Linked DNA regions of Canis lupus familiaris. The protein of the gene in region 1 interacts with the protein of each later gene in a biochemical or structural test. Links are inferred from orthologs where the notes say so. Each region holds a gene or a part of one and is shown in the gene's direction. Other genes may lie near its edges. The genes, in order: SNTB2, PTPRN and DGKZ.

Region 1 (7,327 bases):
CTCAAATGAATAAATCAATCTTTAAAAAAAAAATAAATACATCTTTAAAAAAAATAAAAAATAAAAAATAAATAAAATAAAAAATAAAGTAGCCGTGATCCCTTCCCTGTTCTGAGAAACAATAAGAAAATAGCTTGAGGGATCCCTGGGTGGCGCAGCGGTTTGGCGCCTGCCTTTGGCCCAGGGCGCGATCCTGGAGACCCCGGATCGAATCCCACGTCGGGCTCCCGGTGCATGGAGCCTGCTTCTCCCTCTGCCTGTGTCTCTGCCTCTCTCTCTCTCTCTCTCTCTCTCTCTCTCTGACTATCATAAATAAATAAAAAATTTTTAAAAAAAAAGGCAATCAGAGAGATAATCCTTTAAAAAAAAAAAAGAAAATAGCTTGAGCAGAGAATACATACTGAAAGGTGAGAGGAATGAAAGGTTATTAGGAATTATCTCAGCCATTTTCTTTTTTGGAGGTAGATAAAATAACATGCCTGTTTAGAGAATTATCTAGGCTAGTCTCTCTGTCCCTAAGAAACCATGGTAACAGATGTGTACGCTTTTTATTTCAGATTTCATTATCCACAGTACATAGATTTCCACTGACTACTTGAGATTTCCTAGATGGTAATTTTCACTCTGCAAGGAACCAGTAACCTTCAGAGGGATTATGTGAAATGACTACAGCACAGGAGGCACTGAATTTCAATTAATCACATGTTTAATGAGTTCCTTCTCAGCAAGGCAATATTTTTGGAATAGTGGGGATTGAAAAGGAGTCAATGGGTGGTCCTTGCCCTCCTGTATTTTATAACCTACTTAGGCAAAACAGGCAGGCAAAGAATAAAGTTGTTCAAAGGAAAAATCCCAGCATATTGGGTAGACAGGGAAACCGAGGATGAGATCTTGCCATGTGGGAAAGTAGTTGAGAGGAGCAGGAGGTGTTTGGATGGCCTCATCGGGGAACACCAACTAGAGGAACATGGTTAATCTGAACACAGTGATGGGAGAGGACATTGAAAATTAAATTCTGATGGAGGACCAAAACAGCTCAATAAATTGGGAATTTTTCAGGGATATATTTTAAAATAATTTTTTAAGTAAAAACTCCCAAGTAACCCAAATAGCAATCTCCATTACCTTCTCTCCTCCTAGAATTAAATATTTTATCACATAACTTACTATCTTATTTTTTTTTAAACTTACTATCTTATATAAGTGCCCCTACTATTTAGTTGGAAGATCTATGACTTCCTCCAACTCTGTTGACCAAAAGGTCTTGATACTTTTGGGAAGAATTTCCAGCACTTCCCTTTTGCTAACAAAGGTGTTGTCGAGTGCCCAACCTCTGGATGATCGTGGACGTAAAAGTGTTCAAAATAATGCTTATACTCCAAGGAATCAGCTGCCAAGTATTCTTTAATAAGCAGAAATTTCACATACCTCAGGCCTCTGGGGGCTCACGGCTCAGCTGGAGCAAAGCCAGAAATGTCTGTGACTGCAAATGCACTTGGGCACATTGGGACCTGCTGGAACAGGGAACTGGCCCCATTGCAATTGATTTAGGAGAGGATAGGAGGGTTGAGCTTCTGCTGACATTTGCAGCTTGGAAAATCCTGCTCCACTAATTGCAAAGAAGATTCTGCTGTAATGATTTTTTTGGTAAGAACTTTTCTCATTTTCAATTGTTTCTTCATTTGGGCTCTGGGTACTTTCCAGTCTCCATTTTTATTGTTTTAACTCCTAGTATAGGAGGCTCTTTGAATGTTCCTGCCCACACATGAATGTGCATTCACAGAGAAGTGCATGGACATGGCTCACAAGCTTCAACATGTACTTCATGAGCAAGCAGGTATACAGACCCTTTTATGGGAACTGGTGCACATTCCCTCTGCTTGCAGCCCCGCTCCCCACAAGTGAAAACATGGGGATTTCACTCTTACTGCCAAAGGAAAATTAGATGGCATGTTTTTTTTTTTTTTTAAGGTTTTATTTATTCATGAGAGATAGAGAGGCAGAGAGAGAGAGATAGGCCGAGAGAGAAGCAGGCTCCCTGAGGGGAGCCTAATGTGGGACTCGATCCCAGGATTCTGGGATCATGACCCGAGCCAAAGGCAGATGCTCAACCACTGAGCCACCCAGGCACCCCGGATCCTCATTTTTGAGGTCTGGAGTGTATAGTAAAGCCCTAGACCAGGAGGCTGGAAGACCTGAGTTTTTTTCCTTCCTCATTGTGGACTTTAGGATAGACTCTTTGGTAGTCTGGGCCTCAGTTTCCTCAGCTCTCCCAGCCCATGAAGCTGGAAGTGGGTGGATTGCAACACTCATGCCTTTGGATAGAAGCCACCACAGGTTCTGTGGTGTGCATATGATTTCTGGGGATACCCCTCAGCATTTGCCCCAACAGCAGGCCATGACCTCCAGGATGAGAAAGATCTACAAATCCAAGTCCAGGGATCCCTGGGTGGCGCAGCGGTTTGGCGCCTGCCTTTGGCCCAGGGCGCGATCCTGGAGACCCGGGATCGAATCCCACGTCAGGCTCCCAGTGCATGGAGCCTGCTCCTCCCTCTGCCTGTGTCTCTGCCTCTCTCTCTCTCTCTCTGTGACTATCATAAAAAAAAAAAAATCAAATCCAAGTCCAAACTCTTCCATATTTGATTATATGAGGGTTTTCACACTCCTTTCCACCTCCACAGACCCTGTGCTCTGCTCACATTGAATTCTTGCATCCTCCTAGGTAACCATCGTTCTGTAAATATCTTTGAGGCCTCCCTATTGTGGCTGCAGGGCTGAAGAAGAAATGGTCCCCTCTCTCACTCCCGGGAAGTAAACAGGTGATTACAAAGCAGAGTAACAAATGCTGTATTCATGTCTCTGGACCTTTGCTTATGCAATTCTCTCTGCTCCACCTACTCAGCTTCCAGTGTCACCTCTGTGAAGCTGACCCCAGGCCCAACCAGATGTTTCTTTTACTGGCTCTCAGGGTGTTTTCTACATGTCACTTAACCACATCGTATCACCCGGGGTTGGTTGGTTCTCCTTTCTCCTCCCCCACTAGACCGCCAGCTCTTAACTGTGGTATGTTTTATGCAGCTCATCTCCAGACATCAAAAGGAGCTCGGGGCTGAGCGCTCAGTAAATACATCATGAACCAACCGAGGCAAGAGTAAACGTGCAACCAAGTCTTGCAGGCTTGCAAAGTGCTCTTTTTTTTTTTTCCTCTTTTTAAAAATTTTATGTATTTACTCCTAAGACACAGAGAGAGACAAACACACAGGCCGAGGGAGAAGCAGGCTCCCCGCGGGGAACCCGAAGCGAGACCCGATTCCAGGACCAGGTATGAGGACAGATGGAGAGATGCTCAACCAGTGAGCCGCCCGGGCGGCCCAGCAAAGCGCTTCTGAAGCTGATTCTACTCTCCCTGTGGCGGCTGCTCCCGTGAGCTGCGCGGCTGAGGTCAGGCAGGGCTTTCGGGGGTGGCCTCCGGAGGCGAACGCGGGGAGAAGAGCGGCCGGAGCCCCGCGCGTCGGTCCAGCGAGCTTCAGGCACCGCGTCAGCGCCCGAGTCCGCCTCCCGGAAGCCGCCCCGCCCGCCGGCCCCGCCCGCCGGCCCCGCCCCGCCCGCCGGCCCCGCCCCGGCCGGTGGGCGTGGCGCCTCATGAATAATGAAACGCCGCGGGGGGAGCGGCCGGCCCCGCCCCCTCGGGCGGGAAGGGGGAAGCGCCGAGGCTGCCCGACTGGAATGAGGGTATCTGCGGCGGCCGCGGCGGCGGGAGCGGGGCCGGCCATGGCGGTGTGGACGCGGGCCACCAAAGCGGGGCTGGTGGAGCTGCTCCTGCGGGAGCGCTGGGTCCGGGTGGTGGCCGAGCTCAGCGGGGAGAGCCTCAGCCTCACGGGCGACGCTGCGGCGGCCGAGCCCGAGGCGGCCCTGGGGCCGGCGGCGGCCGCCTTCAACGGCCTCCCGAACGGCGGCGGCGCCGGCGACTCGCTGCCCGGGAGCCCCAGCCGCGGCCTGGGGCCCCCGAGCCCGCCCGCGCCTCCGCGGGGCCCGGCGGGCGAGGCGGGCGCGTCGCCGCCCGTGCGCCGGGTGCGGGTAGTGAAGCAGGAGGCGGGCGGCCTGGGCATCAGCATCAAGGGCGGCCGCGAGAACCGGATGCCGATCCTCATCTCCAAGATCTTCCCGGGGCTGGCGGCCGACCAGAGCCGGGCGCTGCGGCTGGGCGACGCCATCCTGTCGGTGAACGGCACCGACCTGCGCCAGGCCACCCACGACCAGGCCGTGCAGGCGCTGAAGCGCGCGGGCAAGGAGGTGCTGCTGGAGGGTGAGCGGGGCCGGCGGGCGGCGCGGGGCGGGCGGCGGGCGGCGCGGGGCGGGGCGGGGCGGGCGGCGCGCACTCGGTCCCTGCCCTCCGGCCCCTTCGCGGGGAGCCCGTTCCCTCCCCCTCCGCGTCCTCCGCTTCCCCGCGCCGTTCCCCGGCTCCCCCCGGACCCCGCTTCCTGGGGCTTTGCGTGTGGAAAAGCTGATGCTCCTTGCAAGGAAAAGTTGGCTTGCAGTCCCCAGGCGGGACTCGGTTGAGATTTAGTACAAAGCCCCGGCGCTTGAAGCCCCGCCTCTGCAGGATAAGCTGACACTAAGGACCGGAGGGGGCCCGGAGGGGGCTCGGAGGGGGCTCGCCGGGGCCGCGGAGGGCTCCGTGTGCCTCCCGAGAGGTGCCGGGGTGGCGCCTTCTGCTCACAGCTGGCTCTCCCCCGCGACGGGGTCTGTTTAAAAAAAAAAAACAAAAAAAAAACAACCCACCCCCACCGACGCCAGGGGTGAGCTTGGGCAAATCAAACTGCTGGTTAATTTATAGGGATTTAACCCATCATTGGCCCCGCTCGACAGTAACCAAAAGAGATCATAGCACTTGGTCGAAGCAGAGAGCTGAAACAGCAAGTTTCGGTGGCTAATGAGCCTTGTTTAACAGTCGAGGCTCACGTGTTTGAACATTTACTGCCAGCGAGAGTTTTTGCCCCTTTTGCAAGAGACTAGTGCCAGCTTCCTACCCTCCAGAGACTTGCTGCTGCAAGGCTTTAAATGAAGCCTGAAATGGTACATCTCAAGATATGTTTGAACAGCCACTATTATTTTTTACTTTAAGTACGTACGTGATCCGTAACCTGGATCTGTTGTGATGAATTTATGGAAGGCAAGAGTAAATCTCATTTCCGTGAAAGTGCTCGCGCTTGTTGGAGGTGACCGAGTGTTTTAAGTGTGATCGGAAAAGCCAGTTGCTTACTTCAGAGATTTGTGAGCAGTTGCCTTTCTCTCACTGGTGATTCAGTCATTCGAGGAGCAGGCATTTATTACTGGATGTATAGAAGAGGATGTAAAGCATAATGGTTCTCTTTTTGGTCCCTAGTTGGGGACGTGATGGAAAAATGCAAAACGACTTTAAGTTAAGTGATTATGTAATGCAAACTATATATAAATGCCAAGGGAATGCAAAGTTAGGAAGTAGTGGCAATCGGGATTAGTCAGGGAGGCCTTTTTCAAGGAGCTGAATCCTGAGCCAGGTCTCTAAGGAAGTAATGGACATAGACAGAGATGAGTCAGGAGGGTATTCCTGGCAGAGGAAGAGCAGAAGGGAATGGGTGGGGAAGAAGGGTAGGCAGAGACCAGTCATGAAACTGAGAGGTCAGAAGTCCAGCTTGGCAGAGTGATTTTTCACTTTTTTTCCAAATCGGGTTGTAAATATTTGGAAAAATGTTAGTTTGTTTGCATGTGCTCTGAGTGTGAAATTCCAGTGTCCCATCTCTATGATAATCCTATTTATAAGTCTTATTTATATCTCATGGGTGGGGCCAGACACTGCTCCGAAATTAGTGTTAATAAATGGAGCAAAATTATAGACTGTGGCATAGGCAGTGAGTATATAAAAAAAATTGTAACCAGGGACACCTGGGTGGCTCAGCTGTTGAGTGTCTGCCTTTGGCTCAGGGCATGATCCTGGGGTCCTGGGATCGAGTCCCACATCGGGCTCCTTGCCTGGAGCCTGCTTCTCCCTCTGTCAGTGTCTCTGCCTCTCTCTCCGTGTCTCTCATAAATAAGTAAATAAATCTTAAAAAAAAAATTGTAACCTTAAATGTGCACCTTGAAGTTGGTCTAGCTAAGCATTTGGTTATAAATTCTTAGAACCAGAATATTGAAGTAGTACTATTTATGTAGTACTAGGCGGTAATGGGCAGACATTTCAGCTCTTTGCATGCTATATTTTTTAACAACCCAGTTTCTTGTTTAGCTATATTTTGAACCTGGTATTCATACCAATTAAATGAAGATCATCTGGTAAATGTTTCCCAGTATTCATTAGTCTAAAATAGGCCACTTGGGCTTTTAGGAGGAGGCTTTGCAAATAGCAGCATAATAACATATTTATTGAGTGCCTTTTTACCTAACACACAGGTTCTATTTTATTTTCCTATTTTTGTAAATGACAAGCAGTTTTTGTCCTTAAATGTGTGGGGAAATATGAAATTACACTTTTTAAAAAAATATATTTTATTTATTTATTCATGGGAGAGAGGGAGAGAGGCAGGCAGATACACAGGCAGAGGAAGAAGCAGGCTCCATGCAGGGGGCCCGACATGGGACTCGATTCCGGGTCTCCAGGATCAGGTCCTGGGCTAAAGGTGGCGCTAAACTGCTGAGCCACCTGGGCTGCCCGAAATGACACTTTCAAGCCAAAGAGATAAAAATAAAATAAAATAACTTAGAATATGTGATAACAGTGACTTAGTTGAACTAGTCAAACGTTATTTTAAAATCAAGAGCTGGTGTTCCATCCAGGTAGACCACTGCTAAAAGATAGATTTTATGCTTAGCCCTTAAAGTTTTGGAACCTCCATTAGATGTCTCAGAACTTGAAAAGCTGCCCTAGTAGCACAGTGATGCTCTTTTGTGATGTGGGCAGGGAATTTCAGGCATGCCCTGGCCACCCCCAAGCAAAAGAAAGCAGTAGTCTCTGGTTGCTTGTGGTTAGGGAACTGAGCTAAAGGGTTTCTTTTTATCTCATGAATTTGTTGGGATTATTCGTTCATACAGCAAATGTTTACTCAACTCTACCATGTGCTAGAGGCACTTGAAGATACCTGGTTCCTGCCTTCAGGAAGTTTGGAGTTGAGATAAGAGAGAGATGAGAAATAACTATAACAAAGGGCTAAAAGTGATTTTATAATAGAACTCTGGAGAGGACACGGCACAAAGGAAGGAGAGATCTATAGAGATCTTGGTTCCCTGCCCCGCGTTGGTGGGGTCAGAGGTTGAGGATGCCTGGGAAAAGGTTGAAGGAGAAGTTGAAGCT
Region 2 (7,327 bases), on another chromosome or scaffold:
AGTTTTGATTTTCGAAAAATGTAAATATTTTACATATTCAAAAATATGTATTTTACATATTCAAAAAATAAAATTATATATAAAGTAAAAAAAAAAACCTAATATTGAAAACAGACAAACCGAGTTATATATCAAATTGGTAAAAATGCCTACACAAACAAAAGAACTATTTCAAATGACTTTATTTTTTTTTTAAGATTTTTAATTTATTCATGAGAGACACATAGATAGAGAGGCAGAGACACAGGCAGGGGGAGAAACAGGCTCCATGCAGGGAGCCTGACGCGGGACTCGATCCGGGGTCCCCAGGATCACACTCTGGGCCAAAGGCAGTGCTAAACTGCCGAGCCGCCCGGGCTGCCCCTCAAACAACTTTAGAATGCAGTATTTTAATGCTATACTCTGAGGGATTATATTCCAAGGACAAAATAAACTACCACACATCTTAAATGTCTTTATTGTTTTATTAGTAGAGTAATATTTGTATCATTATTTGTAAATAATTGTATGTATATTATAGGATTACACATATATGTGATTATATTAGATTATAAGAAACCAAAGTTTAAAAAAAAAAAAGAAACCAAAGTTTTCAGTATAAGAATAGAGATATGAGTACAAAGTCAAGAGTTCAGTATAAATCACAGTTATTTTATTTTTTTTTAAAGATCACATTTATTTACTCATGAGAGACAGAGAGAGGCAGAGGCACAGGCAGAAGCAGACTCCATACAGGGAGCCGAAGGTGGGACTCGATCCCAGGTCTCCAGCATCACACCCTGGGCTGAAGGCAGGCCCTAAACCGCTGAGCCACCCAGGGATCCCAACACTAGGGCCAATTTAAAGGAGCTTTCACTGACTTATTCTGAGGGAATTTGAATATAAAAAAAAATAATTACTGCAATTGATTGATGCACATTGAATATATGAAAATCCATACTTCCATAGTAATGCTCAAACAAGAAAAGTCGTTAAAATATTTTTTAAAAATTTATTTGTGGGATGCCTGGGTGGCTCAGCAGTTGAGCATCTGCCTTCGGCTCAGGGAGTGATCCCATACTCCTGGGATCGAGTCCCACATCAGGCTTCCTGCGGGGAGCCTGCTTCTCCCTCTATGTCTCTGCCTCTCTCTGTGTCACTCATGAATAAATAAAATCTTAAAAAAAATTTTTGTCACTGTTGGAGGTAACTACTATACCTAAATTCATTATGCTGCAAATGAAAACCAAAATAATTAGAATGTATGCTACCTTTCCAAGGTGGAATTGTATTTCAGAGTAAGTAACCCAGTTGATGAAGAAAGTTCATCTTTATACAATAAAATTAGCTAACAAACGTTAAAAGAATGATAGAATTAAAAAAAAATAAAAGAATGATAGAATTAGAAAAATCACTATTTTGTGACCCTCTAATGAAGTAATTTAGTCAAGAACCATCAAGGAACAGCAAATCCATTAGGTGAAAAGTTGATGGGAACTAAATATTTTCACAATGCCAAAATATCATCCCATGGATTACATATTAGTTATAAGAGGGAAACATAAGTTTACATACAGTGATCGATCTTTACCTTTAACAAGTGATCAACTTTAGCATCACTAATAGTAGGACAGGCAGACATTATGCAGTTCCTGAAATGACACAATTGGAGACATAAACATCACCTATAAAGCATTTTGTTTAAAAAAATTTTAACCTGATCCAATCAAGACTTTAGATATAACATCTAGCATACAGGGGATCCCTAGGTGGCTCAGTGGTTTAGCACCTGCCTTTGGCCCAGGGAGTGATCGAGTCCCGCATCAGGCTCCATGCAGGGAGCCTGCTTCTCCCTCTGCCTGTGTCTCTGCCTCTCTCTGTGTCTCTCATGAATAAATAAATAAAATCTTAAAAAAATAATTTCCAGCATACAGTAAATGCAGGGGATACACAGGATAGATACTGGAGAAATACAGGGAAACCTATCATGAGGAAATAATCAGAAAATTTTAGAAGGTGGGGAATTGTAAAGAAAAACTAACCTCATCTATTCAACAAGACAATGTCAAAAATGGGGTGGGGGGCCTATGTTAATTTAAAGAGAATTAAGAAACATAACCACATGCAATGGTGGCCTTTTATTCCTATTTTTTTTACTCCTATTTTAAACAAAACAGATGGAAAGGGCATTTTTGGAAACAATTTGAGAATTTGAATATGAACTAAGCATTAAATGATATTAGAGAGTTACTGTAAATTTTGTTAGAAGTCACAATGGCATTTGGATTATGTGGGAAAATATCCTTATTTCTTGGAGATGCACACTGACACGTTTATAAGGCAAACATGACGTCTATAACTGAGTTTTAAAAAGAAGCGAATTTGGCAAAACAAAAATAACTGTTAAGTCTAGTTGATGAATACATGAGTATTTAGTATGCACCACTATCTTTTCTTGTATTTTGGAAAATTTTTAATGACGAACAAGAAAATAAAGTGATCAAATTTGAACTTTAGAAAGCTCACTTCTTAGCTTTCTGGGTGAAAGGAGTTAAAACAAAAGATTAGTTAGACAATTACAGTCTAACTAATTAGACTGTAATTACAATATTCATGATGAAAGAGCACAGTGGTTTAGATAAAGTAGTGGAGGAAAAGAGAAATAGACAGATGGGAGATATAATTTGCTGGTAGAAACCGTAAGATTGTTGATAGGCTTGAGGCAGGAGAGGTTAAAAGAGGAGTCAAGACTAATAACAAAAGCCAATATGTATCATGTGTTTAGCATATGCCAGGGCAGTCTTTGTTCTATGTGATCCACATGAGTTTAACTCGTGTAATCCCCCACAACCACCTTGTGAGGTAGGAATTATTAGCATATCTATTTTATTTTCTTTTTAGATTTTATTTATTTATTCATGAGAGACACAGAGAGAGAGGCAGAGACATAGATAGAGAGAGAAGCAGGCTCCCCTGACGGAGGCTGATGTGGGACTCCATCCCAGGACCCTGGGATTGCGACCTGGGCCAAGGCAGACGCTCAATCACTGAGCCACCCAGGTGTCCCAGCACATCTATTTTACAGATTAGGGATTTGGGTGCAGAGAAGTTAAGCAACTTCCCCAAAGTTATACTCCTAGTAGGTAGCATTGCTAGATTTGGAATCCAGGCACACACGCAGGACCATCCCTGCTGTTAAGGATGACACCAGTACCATTCATTGAGATGCGTAACAGTACCTCCTCTACTCACTTTTATGTTCATCCTAGGTCTATACTAACCGACTCCTATTTCCTGGCCTCTGCCCAGCTGCAGCCCTTTCCTCCAACCCTGGGACTGGGTGACAGAGGTGGCAGTCCTTGGCGAGAAATGTGTGTCCAAAGGGGGTGGGGCCAAGGGGGAATGCTACTGCAGCGCCTACTCTTCGGTGGAGGGAGAAGAGCTGCGGGCAGGCACCTCCGTAAGACAGAGCTCTTACGCCACGTGTGACGCAAATAAGCGTAAGAGCCGGGGGTGGAGATGTCGTCACCACCCGCCCAGGGTTGGCCGAGTTGCCGCGAGAGGGGCGTATAGACCCCGCCTCGCCGGTGGGTGGGGAGCGGCAGGCCCCGCCTCGGCCCCTGTGGCTGGCTCCGGCCGGCGTCGCTGCGGTTGTGGCAGGGGAGCGAGCGCGCCGAGCCCGGAAGGATGCGGCGCCCGCGGCGGCCTGGGGGTCCCGGGGGCTCCGGGGGGCTCCGGCTGCTCCTCTGCCTCCTGCTGCTGAGCAGCCGCCCGGGAGGCTGCAGCGCCATTAGTGCCCACGGTCAGGAGGAAACGTGGGGGGTGGGGTGGGGGGTGGAGGATGGGGCCGGGAGCGTAACTCGGTGGGGGGTGGGGAGAGGTGTCACGAAGGTAGGAACCTCGGGTGGAATAGGTGTCTGGAGTCGGGCAGGGGTAAGCGCTGGGAGACGGGGAAGACGAGAGGGCGTCTGGGAGGAAAGGGGCGTAGGCCTGGAGGTGGGGCTGGAATACGGGGGCGGGACCGAGGAGAAGCAGGCTCGGGGAAGGATTGCGGGTTTGGGAGGAGGAATGGGGGTGCTTATGGACGGAAGGATTTAGAGACGGGCTGCAAGACCACGGGCGAAGCAAGTGGCGCTGAGGCGCCAAAGAAGTGGTGATTGGCGCTGAGGGATGGGGGTGGGAGGTAGGGGTAGGAAGAGGGAGCCCCGGCGTTCGGGCAGGAGTTGGGGCCACTGAGCATGGGGTCCCAGCTCCCAGGAGAGGATCAGACCGAGGGAGGGGCCAGGGTTTCCCTCTAAGTCCCGAGAGGCAGATTGCTGCGACCTCATCTCCAATAAGAGGACGACGGCTAGAGGAGGCGGCAAAGGAGGGTGAAGAGAGAAGGGTCCTTTCCGGGCCCCCTCCCCACAGCCAGGCCGGTGCTGACTCACATCTGAGCGGACAGAGACAGTCAGCGCTGACTCACGGGCCGGGGGAGGGGGGTGGGGCGCGTGGGGGAAGGGGCGCAGCCTCCCCGTCTGACGCCCTCCTTCCCCACCTGGCTTGGAGACCAGTGCGGGGTACTTCCTGTGGCGCTGTGGATTGGTAGGGGGGTAAGTGAAGTCTAGAACGGCGGAGGGGTCAGGTCTCGTGGAGGCTCCCGACCCTAGTACCCTTCCCTCCCCGGTAACTGCTTCCGAGCTAGCTAGCCCTCGGCGGCGCCAGACTCGGAGCTTCAGCACCGCGGACAGCGCCAGCGGCTCGGGCCGCTGACCTAGGGACGGTGTGGGGAGCGCTGCTTTCCAGACACCCCACCCCTACCCCTTTCCTACACGAAGGGAAGGTGTGCCTGGGTTTCCATCTCGTTGGAGTCCCAGCCCATCATAGTGAGAATGCTTTTGGAGATTTGGGGAGGAAAGTCCCGTTTTCCTCAGAATTTGGCCAAAAATCCCCCCCATAGTAATTCTATGACAATAGAAGTATACGATCCTTCAGTACCCCCTGCGCTTGCAAGGCTTCTTCTCCCCATCACTCAGTTAAGCCAACTGAGGCTTTTAGGGAAAAGATCCAGACTCTCAGATCCTTAAAATCCAAAGCCAGATCCTGTGCTTCCTTCTCTTAAGAATTCTAGGCCTCCCTACTCTCCTCCCAGCTTAAAGCCTTTCTGAGAATGAAAGAATGGGCCTCATCTGTTTCCCCCTTTCCCAGCCTGTCCATTCTCTTACCCTTCTATGTGTGTGGGTGTCTTAGCCTCTGCTTGCTTTTCCCTCTACAGGCTGTCTGTTTGATCGCAGACTCTGCTCTCACCTTGAAGTCTGTATTCAGGGTGAGTGAGGACCAGGCATAGGATTTACAAGACAGGGGACACAACATGAAAGATGTGTGTGTGGGAGGCCTGGAAGGGGGGAAGGGGTGCTAGGCTTGTGAAGAAGGAATGGCTTGAAGGAACAGAGTTCTCTGAAGCCAATAGAGATGGAGAGAGTAATGCCCTTTTGCAACCTGGACTTTGAAAGCTCCTTGCTGACACCACTTTTGTGCTCTTAGATGGCTTATTTGGACAGTGCCAGGTGGGAGTGGGGCAGGCCCGGCCCCTTTTGCAAGTCACCTCCCCAGTTCTTCAGCGCTTACAAAGTGTGCTCCGACAACTCATGTCCCAAGGTGAGGTCTAGCTGCACTGAAGGAGAGACACTGGAATTTGGTTAGATAAGGGTGGGGAAGTGAGGGGCCACCTGACTTGAGAATTTCTCTTCATGAAACATTGTTATCACACCTACTTCTAGAGCCTCACCTTCCCAGACCTTGCTGGAGAAGGGGACAAGACAGGAGTCGGGGTGGAACCATAGAGATGGGCTATTCACACTTGGACTCTTGGAAGGAGTCTAGAGGCTTCCACAGAAGGAGCCACTGAAAGAAGCCAGTGTCCATCTCCTTAGGACCAGTCTATTCCCTGGAACTGTCTGAGTGCTCCACAATTATGAATTCTGGAGTCCTCAGCCAGAACAGCTCACTCATCAAAATCACTCACTCAACAACTATTTGTTGAGTATTTACTATGTGGCAAGCTTAATTCTCGGTGCTTGGGATGTATCAGGGAATAAAACAGACAATGATCTCTGTCTACTGGGACTTACATTTTGGGAGATAAGGGGAATACAATATACAAATTAGAAAATACATAGTATGTTATAAGGTGATAAATGCCATGGAAAAAAACAAATATCATAGCATGATAAAGGGGTCAGAAATGGTGGGGTAAGAAGCTTCAGTATCAAATTGAGTGGTCAAGATAGATCTTATTGAGACTATGAAATTTGAACAAAGACATCAAGGAAGTGGAGATGTATTCCAGGAGGTTATTGGGGGCAGTGTTTCAAGCTGATCAAAGAGCTAGAACAAAAGGCTTTACTAAAGCAGGAGCATGAGTTTGAAGAATACCATGGAGAACGCCTCTATGGTCTGGCTGTAAAGGAGGGATAGAGAGGGAAAGTGGAAGATGCAGATAGGTATTGGGAAATAGGGATGCAGATCATTGTAGGGACCTACAAGAGAATGTATGGATGGATGTTGTCTTTACTCTGAGTCAAAGAGGAACCCATGACAATGTTTTAAGCATAGGGATACATAATCTCACCTCTACTTTAATAAGATCAAGCTTGTTGCTGTTAAGAATAGATGGAAGGGAGTCAAGGGTAGAAGCTGGAGGTCATTAAAAGCTACCACAATAACTCATGTAAGAGATGAATGTGGCATGGATCAGGTGATTGCAGGGAGGTAGAAAGGAATAAGAGAATTCTATATATATTTTACAGGTAGTAAGCATGTTATCATGAAATATTGGAAAATGCTGTGAAAGAAAGGGAAGTGTCAAGAATGACAACAGGTTTTATTGCCTGAATAATTGATTAATGGAGATGTCATTAATTATACAGAAGGATCAATTTGGAGGAGGAGGTGTTCAGTTTTGAATATATTAAATTTAAGATGTTTATTCAAGTAAAGTGGAAGTTGAGAGTATGAGTTCGGTTTTGAAAAGAGATGGAGGATTCTGGAGTGGAGATATGAATTTGGAGTTCTTTGGCATATTAATGGCAAGTGAACTCATAAGGTAGGTGAGATAACCAAAGGATTTGGTGTATATGAAGAAGAAGCCTAGAGAATTATAATAATAAAAGGACCAGGACAAGGAGAAGAACCAACAAGGTAGACTGAGAAGAGGGAGACAATGAGGTAGGAGGAAAAACAAGAATGTTCAGTGTCCTAGAAGCCACGTGAAATGTACCACAGAGGAAGGAGTGATCAATAGTGTCAAATAATGATGGTAGGTGAAGTAAGATGAGATCAGAGAATTGGCCACTGGCTTTAGTTAGCT
Region 3 (7,327 bases), on another chromosome or scaffold:
GCCTCACCCTGAGACGAGCTGGAAGACTGGGGATGCTTCAGCAAGGAGCTCAGAGCGGGGGCCTGGGCCGACCCCCCAAGCCCCTGAGCCGCCCTTCCTCTCCCTCCTTGCCCACCACCCTCATGTTGCCAAGTCCTCCTGTCCAGGTTTCATAAGGAAAGCCATGGAAGCATGGAGTGGACCATGGCACCTAGCCCTGAAAGGGGGCTCCCTCATCACTCTTTGGGCTCTAGAGAGGAGAGGAGAAGAAGGTAGCTGCTAAAACAAAGGCTGTTGCCATCCCCTTGTGCCTGACAAAGAAAAGTGGCCTGGGCCGGCCTGGGCCCTGTGGTCAGTCCTTGGGTGCGGTGCCTGAGGTGGAGGAAGCCCATCTCTTCCCTTATGGCCCTCGCCCCTCCCCCACGGAATTCCCTTTTCCTTCCTTCTGAGCTGATCGGTGGTAAACACTGGACTCACTGCCAGGCACTGTGCTGGGCATGCCCAGATATACTGGACCTGGCCCCTGGTCCCCGGGAGCTTGTGGCCTGGTGGGTGGGTGGATGGGAGGAACAAGATATGTGCATTTGAAAGAATTAGGACTTCCAGGGGTCCAGCGGCAGAGAAACCAAAATGAGTGATGTGACCAAATGAGTGATGTGAGGTTACTAGTGAGAATGGTGAATTCTTGGTTGGGGCAGCTGTGAGCAGGTGGGGTTTTGATACGAGCTGGGAAGCAGCCAGTATTCCGGGCAGAAGGGATGCTGTGTGCAGGGACACAGTAGTGGGCTTGGGCAAGGCCACATTGGGGCACAGAGAATAGGATGGCTTGGTTAGAGCTCAGGGGTTTGTGTCTGGGCTGAGGAGGCTGGGTTAGTGCCACACTGCAGAAGCCACATTTGCCAGGCTGGAGGTTTTGGAATTCATTCTGAGCTAGTGGTTCCCAAAGTGGTCCTGGAGGTGCCCTAGACCCTTTCAGAGAATTAGTGTGGTCAGAACTATTGGCATAATAATACTTTCAGAGCCGCCCTGGTTCACGCCCTTTTCACCGTGTTAGTAGTGTTTGTAGTGACCGTGCAGAGGCAATGGTGGTGTGGAGCAGCTGGCCCTCTGACACAAACCAAGGCAGCGGCTCCAACACGAACTAGAAGCCGTGGTATTCTTCACACTCACCACAACAAAATGCAGTAAAATGTATTAATTTTATAAAGCCCAGACCCTCGAGTATACATCTTTTTAAATATTCTGTATGAAGAAATGTGAAATCTAAGTCAAGGCAGTTTTGCAGACTGTGATGGTTGTCTTGAAAAGCAGTCTTGGGCAGCCCTGGTGGCTCAGCGGTTTAGCGCCGCCTCCAGCCTGGGGCGTGATCTTGGAGACCCAGGATCGAGTCCCACGTTGGGCTCCCTGCGTGGAGCCTGCTTCTCTCTCTGCCTGTGTCTCTGCCTCTCTTTCTCTCTCTGTGTCTCTCATGAATAAATAAATTAACTCTTTAAAAAAAAAAAAAAGAAAGAAAGAAAAGCAGTCTTGCTGCTGGGTTGCAAGCTGTACTAGTTACTTTTTTTAAGGAACACCTTTTTAACTCGAAAGAACACCTGGCAGACAAAACTCTTCAGAGTTGGGTATTTGGCAGACATTTTCTCAAAAATGAATGAAGTGAGCTTGTCACTTCAAAACCAGTATCAGTATTTGTTGCTGATGATAAAATTTGAGCCTTTGAAAGGCAAGAATTAGAATTTTGAAAACCTCATATGCACTGTCTAGAGCCTGACAGCTTCCCAGGACTGGAAGACTTTTCTGGTGAGACCAATAGCGACGTTAGCAAGTATGACTTCTTGATTTTGTATAAGGAAATGTGTCAAGTTTGGAAGATCTGCATAACTCAGTAAAATATATTTTCCAATGCTTGATATTACAAAATTCACAATGCAAGATAGATGAGTGAAAAGTTCATTAATATGGTTTCAGATTCCATATAGCCACTAACCTTTAAGAAACTACCACTTGTCACATTTTGATGAAGTAGCAAAGAAGAACATCCATAATTGCCTAAAAAGGCTATTAAAATACTCTTCTTCTAACTACATGTCAATGTGAGGCAGAATTTTCTTCACATACTCAACCAAAACAACATATCACAACAGATTGACTGCAGAGGCAGATAGGAGAATCCAGCTGTCTTCTATTAAACCAGAAATTAAAGAGATTTGCAAAAATTAAAACAATGCTACTCTTCTACCTAATTTTTTTTTTTTTTAGGAAATACAGCTTTTTAATTTTATTTTTATTTTTTTTTATTTTTTATTTTTTTGGAAATACAACTTTTTAAAAAAATAAAAGTATGTCTGTATGTTAACATAAATGAGTTTATTGTTTTTAGATAAGTTAATATTTTTTAAATCTCTCAGTTTTAATTTGTAATATGGTAAATATTACTAGTTCTGACCCCCGTAAACAAAACCTTTTGGGATCTTCAGTAGTTTTTAAGAGTGTAAAGGGGCCCTGGGAGTTTGAGAGCTACCACACTTGACCCTGGAGAGCCAGGAGTGTAAGCTGGAGGAAGGGGGTGGCATTCTGGACAGGATGGGTGTGACATGAGCTGACCTCTCCGGGACACAAGCCAGGGCAGCTCTGACAGACCTCTCTTGGCAGGGTGGGGAGACCCAGGCTGGATAGTCCCAGCTCAGCCACTTCTGGGCTCCGGCAGTCACAAGCCTCCATGAGCCTCAGCTGCTTGTGGTTTAGCTGGGACGGTAATGCCACCCGTGCAGGAGAATTATAAGCCTTCCGTGTGATAATGCTTGTGAAAAAGTGCTTTGTAAGTTGTGAAAGACTCAACAGATATTTGTTTTTGTGGTTACTTTGATGGGAGCCAGTGCTTAGCTGTCTCAGACGCTTTCCCCCAACCCCAGAACACCTGTCCAGTGGGTAGGAGAGGACATTCGATGGCCAGAAAGGGTGCGATCCACCCCCCACTTCTACCTCCCCAGACCTTCTCTGGGAGCCAAGGCAGGGGCCGAGTGGCTCTACCGGGTGCCAGGTGGAGGGGAGGCTACTGGGCTATTGCTCAGGCTGGCTCTGGGGACTTTGGGAAGAGAAGCCAGGAGGCAGGACTGGTGCGCGTGTGCCCGCCCGCCCACCGGCCGCCTGCTTGCTGCAGGGCCTGGAGCTGCCGCTGGGAGAGGAAGTGCAGTTGGTTACCAATCGGGTTATTTTCATAACGGCTGTCTCAGGCTGGGGGGAGGAGGGTGACGAGGGGGAGGGGGCAGGGGAGCAGCCACAGCGGCTCTGCTCACTCTCCAAACTAGGACTTGCTCCGCCAGAGGCCGGCAGCCTGGAGCTGGAGGCAGAACCGGGGCTACCTGCCCACAGGGACCCCAGGCCCCACCCGTTCGCCCACCTCCTGCCCGCCACCCTGCCTTCCAGATCAGGTCAAAGGGGACTACCCCCCAACCCTTCCTTGCCTTCTGCTTCCTCCTTCCTGTATCTGTCTGGGTGGGTCTGGGGAGGAACGGATCATGGTGGGCCCAGGCACCACCATTCCTGGATGAGGCTCTGAAGCTGATGGAAAAGGGAAGGGAAGGGGTAGGCTAGGCTCCTGCCCCAGCCAGACCCTGTTGAGGTCAACATTACTGGCCTGCGGCCGCCTTTCCTATGCAACCCTGGCTCACCTGCTCCCTGCTGCGCGTTTGTTTTGTTTTGTTTGGGGCAGGCTTCTCTTAGCAAGTAAAGACCTCGGGAGAGCCTGGACCCTGTCTCACCAGCACCCTCCCCCCCCCACAGGCCTGCCTCCACACTGTCTCCACCTCCTTCCCTCTGACCTTCGGGCTGTGGGAGCAGAGCACCCAGAGGTGGCTTCTGACCAGTAGCCCCTGGGGAGGCCTCTCCAGACCCTCACTCTGGGGCCACTATGCACCATTCCCAGCCTCCCTGAGGAGATGGGCACATGGGGCCCTGCTCACAAGGGGGGATGAGAACCCTGGCCAGATCCCATGGGGTGTCCTGTGCAGGCACCTCTGGGGGCCAGGCCTGCTATGAGGGGCAGAGGGCATTTCTTACTGTATGAGCAGATACCCAGGTGGCTCTCGCTGCCAGACTCTGTTCTTCATGTGGTGGGTGGTGGCTACCCCAGGGACTCCTGCTTCCCTTTCTAGGTTCCCACTCCCACCACAGGCAGAGACAAAAACCCCAGGCACGATCCACACACCCTTGTGTCTGCTGTGGGTGTAGGCTCTGCCATGCCCCTACCCTCTGCCAGGTATCATCAAGTACTTTATACCATCATCTCATCAGAACCTCCCTTATGCCAACCTTCTCAACTGGGTAGTATCACCCCATTTTGCCGATGAGAAAGTTGAGGATCAGAAAGGTTAGTTGATCCAACCGGGAAAGCAATGGGAGGATTCCAAAGCCCTAGGGCTTTTCCACTTGAAACTAACATAGGGAGGGAGATAGTCTAGGCTGGGCGGCTGGGAGTCTGGTTCTCTCGAGCCGGTAGCCAACGAAGCTGGGTCGTTGACACCCGCTCACCCACTGGCAGCTGCCCGTAGCCACACTCGCTGCTGTTCATCAAAGGCACATGGCCGGATGTGTGTCCCTCCTATAGCATCCTTTGTCTTCCCCAGGCTCTCAACAGCCAGCTGGAACCCTTGAATCCTTTCCCATCCTGTTCCCTTTGGGTGTGACAAGCTTCCCTCGGGTTCCCCGCAGAAGGCTCAGAGGCAGCCATTTTGCTGTGCTATTGGTGTCAGAACCCTGCGGGGTCTCCTCCAGTGACCTTTACATGTAGTGTGTGGTATGCTGAAGATAGATGGCAGAGCACGAATCGAGAAGACACTGCTGCTTAGAGCTGTGCTGCGGGGAAAGGCTGGGACACGCCTGAGGCCAAGTGGGGCTTCTCAGAGGACCCAGGAGAAGCCTCAGCAGAGATAGGAAGTCTGGAATCAGGCTATTGCTGACCAGAGGACAGAGGTTTCTATGGAGACCAGAGGAGCAGGAAGCATGGGGCCTGGGGGGAGGAGGCATTGGGAACATAGAGGCATGGGTGCTGTGCAGGACAACTTGTCATAAAATATCAGCTCAGCCAGTCTCGTAGTCTCCTTGGACAAACAAGATGACAGGCCCATGTGGGGACGGCTTTGTACATGGTCGCACGACAGTGGCCTGGCTAGCCTGCTTTGCTCCCCACTCAAAGTGACTGCACCGCCAGGCAGCTGATGAGACTCCTGGACGGTTGGACTTGGGGCTCCCCGGCAGCATGTGGGCTGGAGCCCTATGGAAGCACCCGTAAGCTGCCACCCTGTTGTGAGGCGGCCCCTGCCTCCTGGCCCCACTCATCAGTGTGGGTCTGGGCCCTGGCCACTGCCCCAGACCTCATCGCCGCTCACAGAGTGCCTGCAGCACCTCCCCCCTACTTACTGTGGCCTTTTGTTTTCTGGGTGACACTAGCATCAGGCGGTGTGTGTCCGGGTGACTAATCTCCTCCAGGCTGGGCAGCTGTCACAGGGCAGCCTGACCAGACGGGCGGGGAAAGCTGACACCCTGGGGGAGTGCTGGCAAGCCAGTGCCCAGGCAGCAGTGGGCAGCTGGGCCTTCAGGCTTCTTTTCCTGGGTACAGAGCAGACCAGAGTCAGGCAGGCCTGGGTTCAGGTCCCAGTCCTGCCACCGAGCGGCCTTGTGACGTGGGGCATGTACTGCACCTATTCAAGCCTCGTCTCTGTAGTGGAGCCACTGATCCTGCGTGCCTCACAGACTTGTGGTGGGGATCAAGTGAGATGATAAATGAAAGTACTTGCTTAGGGCCTTGTCCATTGTAGGTATTCAAGCAGTTCAGCGGCCATTGTTGCTCTTATCAAGGCTCCCCTTCCTGCCCCGGCCCACCTGAGTCTCAGCCCCATTGCCCAAAAAGAAAGATCCTACTCTCCGCTGAGCTTCTAGAGTACAAACTTTGCCTTCACGCAGACTTGGGTTCCGTCATCGGCTCCCCATTGGCTAGCTGTGGACTTCAGGCAGCTTACCTCCTTGTGTCCCAGCTTCCCATCAGGAACATGGCATGATGCAGGGCCTATTTTTTCATGTTGCTCTGGTTTATAAAATGATAACGTGTGTTTATAAAGGGCTTAGCAGAGTGCCTGGCCCATGGAGGGCACTCCGTAAACGTTAGCTCTGGCGATAGTGATTTTTGTAGCTAGCCAAGAGCTCTCTGCCCACGCCCGTTCACTTGCCCTCAGAGCTTAACTCCTGCCCTTCTTCCTGTCGGAGGAGGGACTGTAACAGGCAGAGACCAAGAAGAGCCAGGCAGTCTCGAACACTGGTTCCCCAGGCACACTGCCTCCGTTGTTCCCTGGTCACAGGAGCTCAGACACCTTGGCCCTATGTGCCTCTCCCTAAATACCTCTGTACCCATCCAGGGCTTCAGCCTGGCATTGCTTGCCTGGACTCACAGGGTAGTAGCAGATTAAAGAGTGGGTGAGTGGGTGATGGGAGAAACAGGCAGTCGGCACGTAGCTGTGGGCCTGGGTCCTCGAGCCCTGCATCCACCACCGTTTGTCCAAGGCTCCCACCCACCATGCCTGACTTCCTCTAGGCCCTTAGCAGGTGGCCGTATGTCTCTTGCTGGCCCCAGGCAGATGTCCCATGGCTGTGACTTGGACCTCTCTGTGGCTGCCAGGGCCCAAGAGATCACTTGGTGGTGGGATACAGGCCCTGGGCATTCTGGAGGCATCCTCCCTACCCCTGCCCCAAGTATACCTGGCTTCCTGCCCTTCCCCCACTGTTTGGAAGAAGTGAGGGTACAGTAATCCCAGCAGCCTGTAAGAAGGGGCAGCCAGGAGTAGATGAGCTGGCGAAGGAGGCTAAGAATGGGTCAAGGGAGGGTGGTTTGAGTAAGGATAGTCCCCCACAGGAGGGAACTCTGGGTATAGAGTTGGAGCTTCTAGCATTGGTCCCCAGGACACAGTGCAGTTCACAGGCTCCCTTGGCAGCAGGGCTGGAAGGGTTTTCAGACCTCACCCGTCACCTGGTACTTGCACACATGGGAGATCCGTCCTCGGCGTCTCCAGAAAGGTGAGACAGAGCAGTCTAACATCAGGAAAGGGCCTGCTTTTAGCCCCTCAGAGATAGAGATGCACACCCAGAACACACCTGAAGGCTTTCCTCTTGGCTCAGGCCTCTCATAGCTTCCCATGTAGAGTCCCCATGGTTGAGGACTGGGGTGGCTCTCTCCCTGTATAACTCCCCCAGTCTGAGGGCGTTGGTCACCAGAGCCCTTTGATCCCTAAGTCAGATCTTCCCCTTGTCTGGTGCCCAATCTCTGCCTGACCCCACGGTTTGGGGCTGAGTCTAGGGGTCT

What was found.
Region 2: the proteins of SNTB2 (region 1) and PTPRN form a complex in vitro, tested with the Homo sapiens proteins (2 studies listed by BioGRID and IntAct). The link is inferred for Canis lupus familiaris from reciprocal best matches to the Homo sapiens genes SNTB2 and PTPRN.
Region 3: the proteins of SNTB2 (region 1) and DGKZ form a complex in vitro, tested with the Homo sapiens proteins (2 studies listed by BioGRID and IntAct, with this or other methods). The link is inferred for Canis lupus familiaris from reciprocal best matches to the Homo sapiens genes SNTB2 and DGKZ.

Annotation. Positions count from the first base shown.
Region 1 is NC_049226.1:81,041,021-81,048,347, reverse strand, and holds the start of SNTB2 (beta-2-syntrophin), read left to right. Parts: upstream 1-3,711; 5' UTR 3,712-3,726; coding exon 3,727-4,306; intron 4,307-7,327. UniProt on the Homo sapiens protein: Adapter protein that binds to and probably organizes the subcellular localization of a variety of membrane proteins. May link various receptors to the actin cytoskeleton and the dystrophin glycoprotein complex.
Region 2 is NC_049258.1:25,725,862-25,733,188, reverse strand, and holds the start of PTPRN (receptor-type tyrosine-protein phosphatase-like N), read left to right. Parts: upstream 1-3,541; 5' UTR 3,542-3,666; coding exon 3,667-3,781; intron 3,782-5,233; coding exon 5,234-5,284; intron 5,285-5,502; coding exon 5,503-5,616; intron 5,617-7,327. UniProt on the Homo sapiens protein: Plays a role in vesicle-mediated secretory processes. Required for normal accumulation of secretory vesicles in hippocampus, pituitary and pancreatic islets.
Region 3 is NC_049239.1:43,527,669-43,534,995, reverse strand, and holds the start of DGKZ (diacylglycerol kinase zeta), read left to right. Parts: upstream 1-3,256; 5' UTR 3,257-3,407; exon of another isoform or gene 3,408-5,233; coding exon of another isoform or gene 5,234-5,262; intron 5,263-7,327. UniProt on the Homo sapiens protein: Diacylglycerol kinase that converts diacylglycerol/DAG into phosphatidic acid/phosphatidate/PA and regulates the respective levels of these two bioactive lipids.